Stegostoma tigrinum: one gene and its partner. The protein of the gene in region 2 interacts with the protein of the main gene of each other region in a pairwise test. Links are inferred from orthologs where the notes say so. Each region holds a gene or a part of one and is shown on either strand. Other genes may lie near its edges.

Evidence for each region.
Region 1: the proteins of htt (region 2) and ing5a interact in binary tests that used the Homo sapiens proteins (3 or more experiments, as listed by UniProt). The link is inferred for Stegostoma tigrinum from reciprocal best matches to the Homo sapiens genes HTT and ING5.

What each region holds. Positions count from the first base shown.
Region 1 is NC_081367.1:5,121,107-5,129,350, reverse strand, and holds the start of ing5a (inhibitor of growth protein 5a), read left to right. Parts: upstream 1-5,157; 5' UTR 5,158-5,219; coding exon 5,220-5,256; intron 5,257-8,244. UniProt on the Homo sapiens protein: Component of the HBO1 complex, which specifically mediates acetylation of histone H3 at 'Lys-14' (H3K14ac) and, to a lower extent, acetylation of histone H4. Component of the MOZ/MORF complex which has a histone H3 acetyltransferase activity.
Region 2 is NC_081356.1:129,592,889-129,601,109, forward strand, and holds the start of htt (huntingtin), read right to left. Parts: upstream 3,410-8,221; 5' UTR 3,179-3,409; coding exon 3,090-3,178; intron 1-3,089.

The sequences.
Region 1 (8,244 bases), on a different chromosome or scaffold from region 2:
TTAGCAGCCCTTCGCAGATGAGATGACTCTCTTCCATATCAGGGTGAATCTGTAGGTGGCTGAACAGATTGATGCAGATACCCGTAAGCTCTGTTACACTTAGGGCAGATGGTGGTCTTGGGAAGGGGTGGGTGGGCATTGGTGTGGCAGGGACCTCCTTTAGTTGTTTTTGCCTGAATTCCACTTTTTTCCCAACGGAAGTCTCAACTTGTTTGATGCCTTTCCAAATGCTCCTCCTCCACTTTGGTTGGTCTTGGGCCAGTGACTCCAGGTTTGTGTGGGAATGCCATACTTTGCCAGTGAGGTCTTGACATGCTTCCTCTGTTCACCTGGGGCTCATCTGCTGTATTGAAGCTGGTAGTACAGCACCAGCTTGGGGATTATTGTGGCTTTTAAGCGGACGACGTGCAATATTCCTGCAGCAGTCACAGTAAAGATCACATCTGTTGCCCCCACCATGGCCAAAAGCCACACTGCAATTCTAGGAGGTGTCCTCAGGCACAGGGAAGAAATGATTGAGGAGGTCCTTGGCAATGAATTTTCCAACCGTTGACAACAGGGAGACTCTCCTGTAGTTACCACAGTCAGACATGTTTCGTTTTTTGAAAATGCTCACAACTGTGGCAACTTGGAGCTCTCCTGAATGGTCTCTTTTCCTCCCCATACAACAGCATCACTGCAACAGCCTCAGTACTCAACACCAACAACTGCCAATTTTCAGATGCCATCCTATAACTCATCCGCTTCATCCTTGATCTCAACATCTTGACCTTTGACAACCAACTCTTCATCGAGAACACGGAACAACCATAGGGACAAAGTTTGTGCCCCAATATGCCAACATTATCATGCACAAGTTTGAGCAAGATTTTTTCCCTGCACACGACCTCCAACCAACACCATACCTCAGATACATCGATGACATATTCTTCCTTTGGATTCATGGTGAGGAATCACTGGAATGATGCAGAAAGGTATCAACAAGTTTCATCCCACCATCAGACTTACCATTGTCTACCCTTAAAAATCAGTCTCATTCTTGGACACACACATTTCTATCAAGGACAGACACCTCAGTACCTCACTCTACCACAAACCCATGGATAACCTCATGATGCTGCATTTTCCTAGCTTCCACTCTAAACATGGTAAAGAAGCCACCCACTATGGACTAGCTCTGTGTATACACAGGGTCTGCTCAGACAAGGAGGAATACGACAGACACCTAAAGATGCTGAAAGATGCCCTCCTAAAAACAGGATATGATGCTCAATGCATTGATCGGCAGTTCCAATATGCTACAATGAAAAACCGCAAAGACCCCCTCAGAAGACAGACACTGGATGCAAATGATAGAGTACCCTTTGTCATCCAGTACTTCCCCAGTGTAGAAACTATACCATGTTCTTCTCAGCCTTCAACATGTCATCAATGGCAACGAACATCTAACCAAGATCATCCCTAGGCCTCCATTTCTCGCCTTCAAACAACCACCAAACCTTAAACAGGCCATCATTTGCAGCAAACTACCCAGCCTTCAGGACAACATTGACTATAATGCCACATAATGATTCATTTTGGAAGGACAAACTTGAAAGCAGAATTTGGGTTAACGGAAAGATTGTTGGCAGTGTGGAGGAACAGAGGGATCTTAGGGTTCATGTTCACAGTTCCCTGAAAGCTGTCACCCAGGTGGATAGAGCTGCTAAGAAGGCGTATGGTGTGTTAGCTTTCATTAATAGAGGGATCGAGTTAAAGAGCCGTGGACTTACGCTCCAGTTATACAAAAGCCTGGTTCGGCCACATCTGCTCTACACCTTGTTATGTGGAGTATTGTGTCCAGTTCTCGTCGTCTCATTACAGAAAAGACATGGAGGCATTGGAAAAGGTGCAGAGGAGATTTACCAGCATGTTGCCTGGAACGGAGGGAAGGTCTTACGAGGAAAGGCTGAGAGAGCTAGGGCTTTTCTCTTTAGAACGACAAAGGATGAGAGGCGACTTGATAGAGGTGTACAAAATGATCAGAGGTATAGATAGAGTGGACAGTCTGAGACTTTTCCTAGGGTGGAGATAGCTATTCTGAGGGAATATAGTTTTAAAGTGACTGGAGGTAGATAAGGGGAGTTGTCAGAGGTAGGTTGTTTACTCAGACAGCGGTAGGGGCGTGGAATGCATTGCCGGAGAGAGTAGTGGAGTCAGCCTCATTAGGGGCATTTAAGCAGCTATTAAATAGGCATATGGATGATAGTATAAGGTAGGGGAGGAGGTTAGATAGACTTTAGGATTAGGGTAAAAGTTCAGCACAACATCGTGGGCCAAAGGGCCTGTAGTGTGCTGTACTGTTCTATGTTCTATTACAACCCTGTTATGGCAACCTCTGCAAGACATACCAGATCAATGATATGGTCACTACCATCACACATGGGAAAACCACCCACGATGTATATGGCAGATACACATGTGACTTGGCCAATGTTGTCTATCTCATACACTGCATACAAAGATTCAACGAGACATGGTATATTGGCAAGACCGTGCAGATGCTACGACAACAAATGAATGGACATCGTGCAACAGTCGCCATTTAGGAATGTTTCCTCCCAGTCAGGGAACACTTCCACGGTCAAGAACATTCAGCCTCAGATTTTCGAGTAAGCATGCTCCAAGATGACCTTCACGATACACAATAACACAGAATCACCGAGCAGAAACTGACAGCCAAATTCTGCATCCATAAATATGGCATCAACCGTGATCTTGGGTTCATGTCATGTTGCCTGTGACCCCACCATAGTGTTCTATACCTGTAAAATCTTCCTTTCTGTCCTGTTTTGACACCATCACCTTGATAACTTGTTATGATCTCTGTACCTTAATTAGTTTGTACAGTTTTGGTTTACTTGTTACTTTGATTAGACTTTCGGCATGTGACTCCTTTACCTATCATATTATTCCACCCATTAGGTTTGTTTCCAGCACCAACTTTTTTTCAATTTTTGTAACTATCTTTATGCCTCAATTAATCAGATTATAGGTCATCCTTTCACTTGCTATCAAAGCTTCTGACACTTCCGATCACCTGCAGAGACTTACTTTTCAGTATGTCGATACTGCATTCACACCATGCGCAGTTTGATCTCTCTGCCTCTCTTCACTTTCTCTCAAAGGGGCAATGCTCCCAAAGCTTGTGATTTCAAATAAACCTGTTGGACTATAACAAAAAGTGTGGAGCTGTATGAACACAGCAGGCCAAGCAGTATCTTAGGAGCACAAAAGCTGACGTTTCGGGCCTAGACCCTTCATCAGAAACTTTCTGATGAAGGGTCTAGGCCCGAAACGTCAGCTTTTGCGCTCCTAAGATGCCGCTTGGCCTGCTGTGCTCATCCAGCTCCACACATTGTTATCTTGGATTCTCCAGCAGTTCCCATTATCGCTGTTGGACTATAACCTGGTATCATGTGACTTCTAGCCTTGTCTACCCCAGTCCATCACCAATGACAGACAATCTGTCCACTATCCCTTGACCTGGATGTGAGATTGCTCGCTGAGCTGGAAGGTTAGTTTTCAGAAGTTTCGTCACCATGTCATTTCCTGCCATCACCAACCCAAGGGAACCTAAACAGATAAATAGAAAGTGGGACATAACACCAGCGCTTCATCGGAGGCTCATTGATGATGTTACCTAGAATAGTGACGAAACGTCTGAAAACTAACCTTCCAGCTCAGCGAGCAATCTCACATCCAGAACCTCAACCTGAGCTACAAATCTTCTCAAAACTCGCTAACTATCCCTTGACATTCAAAGGTGTCACCATCACTGAATCCCCCACTATTAACATCCTGGGTGTGTTATCATTGACCAGAAACTCAACCAGACTCTTCACATTAACAGAGTGGCTACAAGATCAGGACAGAAGCTAGGAACACTGCGGCGAGTAACTCACCTCCTGACTCCTCAAAGCCTATCCGCTACTTCGAGGCACAAGTCAGGGTGTGATGGGAATGCGCCTCACTTGCCTGGATGAGTGCAGCCCCAACAACACTCAAGAAGCTTGACACCATCCAGGACAAAGCAGTCCACTACATCCACAAGTATCCACTCCCTCCACCACTGTCACTGAGTAGCAGCAATATATACTGTCAACTAGATGCACTGCAGAAATTCACCAAAGATCCTCAGACAGCACCTTCCAAACCCATGACCACTTCTACTTAGAAGGACAAAGGCAGCAGATATATGGGAATTGCACCACCAAGTTTCCCTCCAAGTCATCCACCATCCTGACTTGGAAATATATCACAGTTCCTTCACTGTTGCTGGGTCAAAAATCATGGGATTCCCTCCCTAATAGCATTGTGGGCCAACCCACAGCAGAAGGACTACAGTGGTTCAAGAAGGCAGCTCACCACCTACTTCTCAAGGGCAACTAGGGATGGGCAAGAAATGCTGGCCAACCAGCAACTCCCACATCCCAGAAAAGAATAGAAATGTAATAGCTTATATGTTACTGCTCCCAGAATTCCTGGAAATCAGTTCCAACGCTGAAAATTCTTCAAAAAAAAAGACCAGCTCTTATAGTCACAATTTTTTTCCTGTCTTGCATTACCCAGAATCATTTTTCTTAAACCTTTGCTGAGTCACTTCATCCTTAGCCAGCATGGGGATGGGGGCGTTGGTTTGGTCCATTAGTGGTCTTGACAGCACGGAAGAAACCCTAAACATCATGCCTGTCGTCCACTGGTTGGGCCTTCAGTGCTTTCTCTACCCACCACCTGTTCTGTATGTTGCAAGTTAATGGTTGGACCTCAGCCTTCAGTTGCCTTGTTGGCCTGTCTTTTCTCTTGAGTACTGTTGTTTTAAACTCAGAAACGCTTCCAGCTAAATAGTCCTGGATCTACTGTTCACTCCCATCAAACTTTCTGGCTGAATGTCCAACAGAGATTTTGCTGGCATCGATGAATGCGGCCTGAAGGGCAGACCAGCTATTCCACTTCGTAATCGTGTACTGTGTTTAAGAGGTTTGGGAAGCTGGGTAGCCACATAAACAGTTTCATTTGGTAGGACCCTGACTCCTCCAACCAGTTGCAAATCTCTAGTCCGCTCCAATTTGAAGACCAGTTCAGTCCTGCCTTGAAATTGGGTTTGGCGGTTGTCATGGCGACGTGCCGGCAGCGCGCATGCTCAGTGCGGGGCAGGCCGGTAGGGAAAGGATGACAAGATGGCGACCGCGATGTACCTGGAGCACTACCTGGACAGTGAGTACTGGGGCGGCCAGCGGAGTAGGACTCCCCCCACCCCCACCAGTTGCTGTTCTTCCCGAGGAGGGGGCCGCTTCGCCCGGGGAAGGGCGGAGAGAGAGTACAGCCCCGGGCCTGTATTCTCGGCGCCTAGGGGCCCAGCTCCTCTTGAGGTGGTTGTGAGAGCCTGCGAAGCCCGGGCTGGGAGTAGCCAGCATGGGGCCTAAGGCTGGTTTCCTGTGAGTTTGTGACGGCGTACTCCCTCACCACGCACGCGCGCCGGATTCGTGATTTTCCCGCCTCCGTTTCCTTGCAAATATGTAAACAAGTGCGAGTGTGCTACAGAGATTGCAAGAACTGCAGATGTTGGAGCCAGAGATAACACATTGTGGAGCTGGAGGCAGTATCAGAGGAACAGGAAAGTTTACGTTTCGGGTCAGGGCCCTCCTTCAGAAAAGGGGAAGGGGGAAAGGAGCTCAGAAGTAAATAGAGTAGGGTTGGGGCTAGTGAAGATAGGTGGGATGGTGATAAGGATCTGATGTACAGTGTGGGGCAATGGGCAGGGATCTGATATATGGCATGGGGCAATGGAGTGGTGCAGTTTGGAGGCAATTGGTAGTTATCTGATAACCCACACCCACATGAGGTATGTGACAGTGTGAGGTAAGAGCTGTTGCACTATAAAGGCATGGATAAGAGACAGTGATCTCAACAGGGTGAAGGTGGCTTAGCTGATTGGCCATGCCTACTTTGACTGGGGAAATGAAACTGAACCTGTTGAAGTGTATAAAAGGCAGCAGGGGTGTTTAAATGAAAGCAGAAGTTGCTGAAAAAGCTCAGCAGGCTCTGGCAGTATCTGTGAAGAAAAAAATCGGAGTTAATGTTTTGACTCCAGTGACTTTTCTTTAGAATGGATGCTAGCTGAGAAAATGTTGGCTTATGTGCAGAAAATAGGGAGGGATGGGGTAGGGAGTAAACAATAGGAGTTTTTTTCTCTCTATTCATTAACGGGATGAGGATGTTGCTGGCTAGGCAGCATTTATTGTCCATCACTAACTGCCCAGAGGGCAGTTCAGAGTCAACCAGATTGCTGTGGATCTGGAATCACACATAGGCCAGACCAGGTAAGGACGGCAGTTTCCTTCCCTAAAGGACATTAGTGAACCAGGTGTGTTTTTCTGACAATTGTCGGCGGATTCGTGGTCATTGTCAAATTCTTAATTCCAGATATTTTATTGAATTCAAATTCCACCATTGAATCTGGGACCTAGAATATTGTCAGGGTCTCTGGATTAACAATCCAGCAGTAATACCACTAGGCCGTTGCCTCCCTTTGATGGAGCCCGAAGACAGACAGAGAGAGAGAGAGAGAGAGAAGAGCAGTTGGACAGACAAAGGAGTTGATAATGACCTGGCTAGGAGGGTGAATAGTTGTTAATGGGGACTTAGTAATTAACAATAGGTAGTGTGTAATGGCAGGTTATGTGAAAACAAGGTCTGGTGTGTGGGGTAGGGGGCTAGGACATGAGAGAGTTAGGCCCTCTAAAATTATTGAACTCTATACAGGGTTTAGAGGGCTGCAAGGTCCCCAAATGGAAAATGAGGTGTTGAGCATCGCTGGAACACTGCAGCAAGCCAGAGACAGATGTTGGCTAGTGAACAGGGTGGTATGTTGAGATGGCAGGTAACTGGAAGCTCATAGTCTTTCATGAGCAGAATGTAGATGTTCTGTGAAGCGGTCACCCAGTCTATGCTTTGTTTCCCCAGTGTAGAGGAGACCACGTTGTGAGCGGCAAATGCAGTAGGCTAGATTCTGGGAAGTGCACCTGGAAGGTTTGTTTGGGGCCTTGGATAGTGGGCAGGGAAGAGGTAAACGTGCAAGTGTTGCACCTGCACAGGTTGCAGAGGAAGGTGCTGTGGCGCTGTTGCAGGGTGGGGGGCGGTGGGTGTTGGGGGGGCAGACAAGGGATGTGAGCGAGGGGGATATCCATCTGGTGGTGGCAGAAATATTCTGTGATGATCTTCTAGATGTGGATGCTGGTGGGATGGCAGGTGAAAACGAGGAGAACTGTATCATGGCCGGGAAGAGAGGGGGTGAGGGTGAGTGTCTGAGATGTGATAGACCTGGTTGAGGGCCCTGTACAACGGTGCTGGCGAATCCTCAGTTGAGCAAGAAGGTGGACATTTTGGAGGCTCCCTTGTCAAAGTTGGCCTCATCTGAACATATGCAACGGAGGAACTGAGAGAATGGGATGGGAGTCTTGCCAGTAAATTCCTAGAAATGGAAACAGATGTCGAAGAGGGAAAGGGAGGAATCACAGACACACCAGGTGAAAGTGAGGACAGGGTCAGAATTGGAAGCGAAATCATGAACTTTTCCAATACTGGACGAGAGAGTGAAGCAACAATGATGATATCATCAATGTATCAGGGAAGAAGCTGTGGGTGAGGGCCAGGATAGTAATGGACAATGAAATGTTCCACGTGTGCCATGAAGAGACTAGCATAACTGGGGCCCATGTGGATACCCATGGCCACCCCTCTGACCTGAAGAAAATGAGAGGAGTTGAAAGAGAAGTTGTTGAAGGTGAGGATGAACTCAGTCAAGCGGTGGAGGGTTGTGGTGGGTGGGGACAGTTAAAGTCTGTAAGAAGCAAGGAGCCCTAAGACCCTCCTGGTAGGGGAATGGACATGTAAAGGGATTGCATGTCCATGGTGAAGAGGAGGCAACTGGAGCCTGCACACTGGAAATTTTGAAACCTGCATAAAGCATCAGAAATCATGGATGTACTTGGGCAGGGATTGGACTGGGGATAGAAGACTGAGTCAAGGTAGGAAGAGAGGAGTTCTGTGGGGCAGGAGCAGGCTGAAACAATGATTCTGCCTGGACACTCCTGAATGTGGATTTATGGAAGGAGCTGTACGGAACTGGGGGACTATCAGCTTGGAGCCTGTCCAGGGGAGGTCACAAGATGAAGTGAGATCAGTGACTGTACTTGATACAAT
Region 2 (8,221 bases):
TATCTCTGAACAATTTATCTGGGCAGGTAAAAATTACATTTTCCATATTAATTCACATTTTTTAATTGCAACTTTATCACTTAGTTTCAAAAACTGCACGAGGCCAATTCATTAACTGTCAAATCATTTTTCTGACATTATGAATAAAAAGTGCAGAAAACCATATTACTAAGCTAGCAATTAGGGCCAGGGGTATAAATGGCAAGTACCGTTGATAGCAGTAAAGGTACTTTGCATTACAGTGAAGTAAGCAGGGTTTTCACTGTTTATGCCCGAGTAACAATTTATTAACTATATTAAAAGGTGATTAAATTAATTCCATCCTTATTTTCTAAAGGCAACCATAAAGTGCACAATAAGGCGGCACGAGATAGTGCAGAGGTGGGAGTTACCATCAGGTGGAGGAATTTTTGATGGAACAGGCTTGATGATTTGAGTTTATGAATGCCTTTTTGCCACTCAGCACTCCACACAACTACTCAAAGGAAAATTCTTGGCTAAAAGTCAATTCAAGAACTGTTTGACTTAGCATTTTGGCTCCCCTTTGCTCCTGACTCCAAGATTGATCAGAATTTACAAGTGAAAAGTCATCTCCACCACCACAGACAACAAAAGAATATAAAATCACGGAGAGACTATTTAGAGATTACAAGAATTTGCCTTTCCTCCAGCCCAAGCTACAAAGGATCTTTCAATCCTATTACTGATTTGCAAATAAACATCCATATAAAAAGATATAAACTCTGCTATGGCAAAGTGATCAATAGAGAACGCCCAGGCTCTTGTCAGACACCATTAACATCTTTAAGGTTACAACAAACCCACGCAGTCACCTGCTTAACAACCACTGGCAAACATCAGTGGTTATATGCAAAGAATAAAGTCCAATTTGCAATAAAGCAATATCTTTTGATCCTTTCCAGAAATATGAGCAATGCTGACGATCCCAGCAATTGCTGCCCATCCATAACTGTTTTTGAAGTGACTAACTTAATAAGTCATTTCAGAAGACAGCTAGGAGTCAACAACATTGCTGTTGGTCTTGAGTCACATGTAGGTCAGTACAAGTAGAGATAGCAGCTTTACTTCCCAAAAGAACCCTTGTTAGTTTCGTGATTTCCCAATTAAGCAAGAAAATATACTGTTTGTAATAAATATTGGACATGAGATAATGGTGGCAATTCAACATATTTCTCACAGGATTACCTGAACTTGATGTCTTGTATTTCAAGGAGGCACTGTCCTCGTGGATATCATCCATTTGCCAATATGCTATACAAACAGGTATCCTTGACTTTCTAGAACTGCAGCACATTCATTGAGTTCCGCTTCCAAAAGCAGAAATTACACTTCCAGAAAAATATTTACCTTGGAAGATGTCTGCATTTTAAATAATGCAGAAGTGGAAATAAACAATCAATCATAGTTATAGCTCGACTGCATCTTAAAAATCGCAAAGAGGCACACAAGGCCTGGAGTCTCATATTACACAGATCAATCAGCAAGTATTTCAGTGTCAATGCACAGAAATCCAAGGATTTCACCAAGGTCCAGTATCAAATGCAGATCTTTATCAAAAACATAAAAAGATAACATGCTCACCAGGCGATGTACCTTCCACTTAGTTTTGTCAATTTCACTTTTTATGTTACCTGCCCCACCCAACTTCCACTAATTTTATCATTATCTTCACTCATTCATGCACAGCAAAATGCAATATCTCTCTTCAGAATTGCACCAAGTGCAAAAAGTGCTACAGAGCTGGATTCACAAAAAGTGACTGAACATGCTGGGCAAGTGGAAATCCTGGCAGTTAAAATATTCTTTCCCCATCTCCCTGCTGAGTTTCTATGAGAAGTATGACAACAATGCTGTTGTGTATGGATAAAGACCAAGGAAACATCACGTATTGATATCCCTTCCACCACTCCACGTTCCACAACCTGAGTTTTCACGTCATTGTAAACAAAAACTCAGCATTGCCCAATAAATCCAAAGCCATTTCAACATCATTGTCTGCCTCTACAACAAATATTGATATATTCCCAGGGAAAACAAGAAACTGATATACATCCATAACTTACACACACTGTACAAGTTGAAAACTAGAAAGTAACAACAAAAACTAGGAACATTCAGCAAGTCAGTCAGCATATGGAGATCAAAAACAGTAGCACTTTAGGTGTAGGATCTTCAGCAAACATTACCTCATTTGTTTTTGCCCCACATGCTGATTGGCACAGCAAGTGCTTACAGTATTGTTTCACACTTGTAGATTTGCAGTTTATTTTTGTTATTCCTTCCCATCTCTAACCATCCAGCAAAGCAGAAACATCTCACATGCACCACTGCAACAGGAGTCATTTCAATATATACAGAAATAAGACAATAAAAAGGAGTGACTAATGATCATCTCCCAGATTTCTTAGCCTGGAACTATATCTGATTTGTGCACAAGTGTAATTGTATACAAGTTGTCTATCATTTATTTCCAGCCACTTGGGTACCAATGTCAACACACCTGGTTTGTATGTCAGACAGTCAGTGTTCACTTATTATACATGGGTGTATCAGTACTGTTCTACATCAGCATGGCAAGCTATAAGCTTGCACACCAGCATGTGTTTTTGTACATTGGTACATCAGTATACGATTTTACATATTGGCGTGCCAGCACATTTTTTTGTACACTAGGACGTCAGGGCCCGGGTAGAGGTGGGGCGGGGGGGTGGTGGTTCTAGGTGGGATGCTCTTCAATGGGTCAGTGCGGTTTCAAGGGGACAAATAGCCTCCTTTCACCCTGGAGGAATTCTATGGGTTCCACGGCATGTTTTGGTACATAATCACACTCTGACACGCCAGTGTACAGAAGGACACCATGAAATGCCAATGCACACCAGACGTCAGGGTGCGATTTTTGTACATTGGAATCCATCCCACAGTGAAATTTTGCGTTAGTTATTTAATCCTTGCGCGCACGCGTTTTGCTGTTTGTAGATCTCTGTAAGTACTTGAATGTCAGCGGGATTCACCAGCAGCTCCCCTACAAACCATCCCCAGCCCTCTCTCACCAGGATCGTTTTACTCACGGTTTCTGCCCCGGCTCCTCACTGGACGGTCCCTGCTGGAATGACTTTAGTGACTCGAAGGCCTTCATCAATTTCTCCATGGTTGCCATTTTATTAGGCAGAGAGAAAAATATAATGGGAGCGGAGCAGGAGAAGCGCTCAGGAAAAGCACTTCTTGCCAAGTCAATTCGAGCACCAAACACACCAAACCAGTCTACTCCACGTCAAAGCGTATGGACAGCTAAGAGGCTTCTAACCGCAATATACACGAAAACAGACTTGGTCACAGTCACCAAAACCGGCAAACACCGCCATCTTGCCAAGGGTAATGGCCCACAACCAGTCCCCTTCAACCAAACCTGACGGCACCAGCCACCCCGCCTCCAACCGATTGACTGACGGCCCCGTTCACCAATAGACAATCGACATTTGGCCCCAAGGACCAATTGGAATACAGTGGGTGGGGCAGGTCCAAATTGGAGCGCCGAACCTTACGTCATCCCCACGCGCGCGGACTGCTGGTTGATTGAAATATTAACCAATCGACTATCGGTATTTGTGACCACTGGGCCAATGAAAACCGTTTGTGTCTGGGAGACATTGGACCAACCGAGGCAGCGGACACGATGCTTGAACGCCCTTCAATTCATTGATGGACAGACGAACCAATCCACGGTCGGAAAGTACCGGGAGTTTGAAGACCGGACAGATCGTCACCGGTTTAATTGATGGATTGGTTAACCAGTAAAGAACGGACAATGACAGTGATTGATGGATTAATTGGCCAATCTATATTTGGAGTAATGACGGCGAGCCGGAGGCGGGACTAAATGTGAATTTAACGGCTGGCGCCGCCTGATGGGAAAGGGATGAGTGATGGTTGTGTTGACCAATCAATGGCCAGGTTCGAGCCAACGAGGAAGGGGAAGGCTGGCTGTTTAGGTTGTCTATTTAAAATAAATATAGATTCAGAAGTTTGGCTTGACGACATCGTGGTCTAACTTAGGAGTTGGTTGATGGCTCCGCTAAAGAACCTTTCCATTTGTCTGGAAGTTCATTCCCTTCCATGTGGCAGTTGAACCTGACCATAGTGAGCAAGAGTCCATTGGCCACCTCCTTGTTTGACATGATTTCGTGACTAAGCTAAAGGGAATGTCAGCAGTGAGATACAAGTTCGTTCTTGCTAAGACCTTGCTTGCGTTTTGACATGGACTGCTTCAGTACCTGAGAAGTCAGGAATGGTGCTGAATGTTGTACAATGACCAGTTATAAATCATACAGCACCAGGTGAATTTACTAAGCAACTTCATTTGACAAAGGAGCTGCACTCCAAAAGCTTGTACTTTCAAATAAACCCTGTTGGCCTATAACCTGGTGCCCTGTGACTTATGACTTTGTACACCATAGTCCAACTCCAGTACCTCCACATCGTAATAACCAGTTAGCTTGATCTCTGTAGTGGAGAAGTTACCAGAGCCAATCATAAAGGAAGAGAGAACTGAACACTTGGAGAAACAAACCTGAATTCACCAATGTCAGCATCATTTCATGAGGGCAAGCCACGCTTGACAAACTTGCTGGGAAATCAAATCAGCAAGGCGAGTCATGGGAATCTGGTGGATGTGGTGTATATATAGACTTCCAGAAGGCGTTTGACAAGGTTCCACATAAAATACTGACCCAGGGAATTAAGGGTAGAGTAATGGCTTGGATAGAGAGTTGGCTAACTGACTGAAATCAGAGGCTTGGGGTAAATCAGTCCTTCTCTAAATGGCAAACTGTAACTAATGGTCTCTCAGTCCTCAACTATTATATAAATGATCTGCCAGCAGGGACAGAGTGTAACATAGCAAAACTCGCAGATAACATTAAAATACATGGGAAAGCAGCCTGTGACGAGGAGGTAAAGAGTTTATAGATGGATATTGACAGGCTAGGAGAATGGGCCAGAATCTGGTAGATGGGGTTTAATGTGTATTAAGTGTGAGGTTGTCCATTTTTGGCAGGAAAAATAAAAGGCCAAATTATTATTTAAATGGGAAGCACATTTAAAGTGTGTCAGTGCAGAGGGATGTGGGCATTTTTGTGCATGAATTGCAGAAAGTGGCTCTGCAGATGCAGCATATACTAAGAAAGGCAAATGGAATCCTGACATTTATAGCAAAAGGACTGGATTAAAGAACTGAAAATGTACTGTTAAAATTATATATGGCTTTGGTGAGACCTCAGCTTGAATGTTATATCCAGTTTTGGTCTCCTTACTTTATGAAGGAATGTAGTGCACTAGAGGCAGCTCAGAAGAGATTCATCAGGTTGATTCCATGGATGAATGGACTGTCATACAAGCAGCACTTGTACAGCTTGGGCTTGTACTTACTGGAGTTCAGAAGAATCAGAGGGATCTGTTTGAACGATATAAAATGCTAAAGGGAAGTTGAACAGATGATCCCCACTGTGGGGCATTCTCGAACAAGAGTTTATAGATATAAACTGAGAGGAGGTAGGTTCAAAACTGAGATGAGCAGAAACTACTTCTCCCAGGATTGCAAATCTGTGGAACTCATTGCCCCAGAATGGAGTGTAGGCAGAATCAATAGACTTGAGAAGGAAATAGATATGTTGATGGAAAGTTGGATAAAGTGTATGGGGAGCAGGCAGGAGAATGGAGTTGAGACAAGGAAAAAACAGCCATGATCATGATGAATGGCAGAGTGGACTCAAAGGGCTGAATTGCCTACACCTGCTCCTAATTCCTATGTTCCTATGATTCTCGATCAGTAGGGTTTACAGGGAAAAGGCAGGAAACCGATGTGAGGAATGTCAGATCAGCCATGATCTGATTGAATAGCAGAGGAGGCTCAAGGGGCTGAACAGCTTATTCCTGTTCCTATTGCTTCTGGTCATAAATCTGCTACTCCTAAAACTATGACCTCTCATTCTAGTTGTCAAGGTCATTTACTCCCCATCACTTGACTTTGATGTAGAGAAGAAATATAGAATATGAAAGTAGATTGTGAATAAATAAACATAATAAAATGTGAGAAGGCTAATTACAACAGTATTAGGCAGAAGCTGGAGAAATTAGATTTGGGGGTGGCTCTTTGACAGTAAATCCACATCCGATGTATGGGACCCTTTTATGAACTAGTTGATCAGAGAATAGGATCAGCATATGAGGATGAAAGATAAGAATGGTAAGATTCAGGAACCCTATGACGGCAAGAAATGATGAAAGATTTTTCAAGAAGAGGAAGAAAGAGTATGTAACTTTTGTGAAACTGAAATTGGACAATTCCCTTGAGGAATATAAAGGAAGCAGGAAAGAACCTAAAGAATTGCGAGGATTGAGAGGACCCATGAAATGTTCTTGGCAAGTAGTATTGAGGAGAATCGCCAAGGCATTTTATATGTATATTAAGAGGAAGAGGATAGCTAAGGAAAGATTTATTCCACTCAAGCACAAAGGACGGAATTTACAAATGGAGCCAGAGAAATTGGGTGAGACCTTAGTGAGTATTTTACATTGATATTCACCAAGGAGAAAGACATGTAAGACATAAGATTAGGGAGGAATATATTGATATTCTTGGAGATGTCAATATTAAGAAGCAATAAGTCTTGGGTGTCTTGTAAAACACTTAGGCAAACAGGGATCTGCGCACACAGATCCTGTGCAGACCAGCTAGCGGGAGTACTTGCAGACATCTGTAACCTCTCCTTTCACTGATCTGATTTTCCCACCTGCTTCAAGAAGACCACTATCATCCAGGTGCAAAAGAAAAATCAGACAGCGTACCTTAATGACTACCACCCAATGAATCTGACATCCATCATTATGAAGAGCTTTGAGAGGTTAGTCATGGCACATATCAACTTCAGCCTCCCAGATTGCCTTGATCCACTACAAATTTCTTATTGTCACAATTGTTCCGCGGCAGTTGCTGTCTCTTTGGTCCTATGCTCATTTCTGGAACATCTGGATAACAAGGACACCTACATCAAACTCCTACTTATTGACTATACCTCTACCTTCAAAACCATTATTCTAATCAAACTCACCTTCAAAATCCAAGAACTTGGGCTCTGTTCCCCATTTCTACAACTCAATCCTTGACTTCCTGACCCATAGACCGCAATCAGTAAGGATAATCCTCAATGCCAGTGACCCACAAGGCTACATACTCAGCCCCTTACTGTACTCCTTACACACTCATGGCCATGTGTCCAAGTTCTGCTCTAACTCCATTTACAAGTTGCTGATGACATCACAGTAGGTAGGATCTCAAACACCAACGAGACAGAGTACCGGAAAGAAATTGAGAGCCTAGTGGCATAGTGTAAAGACAAGAATCTCTCCGTTAATGTCAACCAAATATAGGAGCTGGTAATTGACTTCAGGAAGCAGAGTAGAGAACATGCCCCTGTCTGTATCAGTGGCACTGAGGTGGAGATGGTGGTCAAGAGCATCAAGTCCCTAGGGGTGATGATCACCAACAATCTGTCCTGATCCATTCTACAGTCAAGAAAGCACACCAACGTCTCTACTTCCTCAGAAGACTAAGGAAATTCTCATGTCCACAATGTCTCTTACCAATTTTTATAGATGCACAATAGAAAGCATCCTATATGGATGCATCACAGCTTGCTATGGCAACTGGTCTGCCCAAGGCCACAAGAAATGACCAGAGTTGTGAACACATCCGAGTCCATCACACAAACCAGCCTTCCATCCATTGAATCCATTCATAAATTGTCATGGCCATAGGACGTAAAGGGTAGTTATGGAGCAGTGTTCTTCTGACTAGAGGTCTGTGACCAATACTTTTTGTACTATAGATTTGGATGAAATATAATTAGTCTAATTATTAAATTTGTAGATGACACAAAAATTGGTGGAAATCTGGATCGTGTGGAAGGTTATCAAAAGATATAGCAGGATATGCACCATTTGGGGGAAGGCAATGGCCTATTGATATTATTGCTAGACTATTAATCTAGAAATTCAGTGAATGTACTGGAGATTATGGTTTGAATCCCACCACAATAGATGGTGGAATTTTAGTAAAAAAAACAATATGTCTGGAATCAACAATCTACTGATAACCATGAAACCATTGTCGATTGTTGGAAAAAAACCCATCTGCGTCACTAAT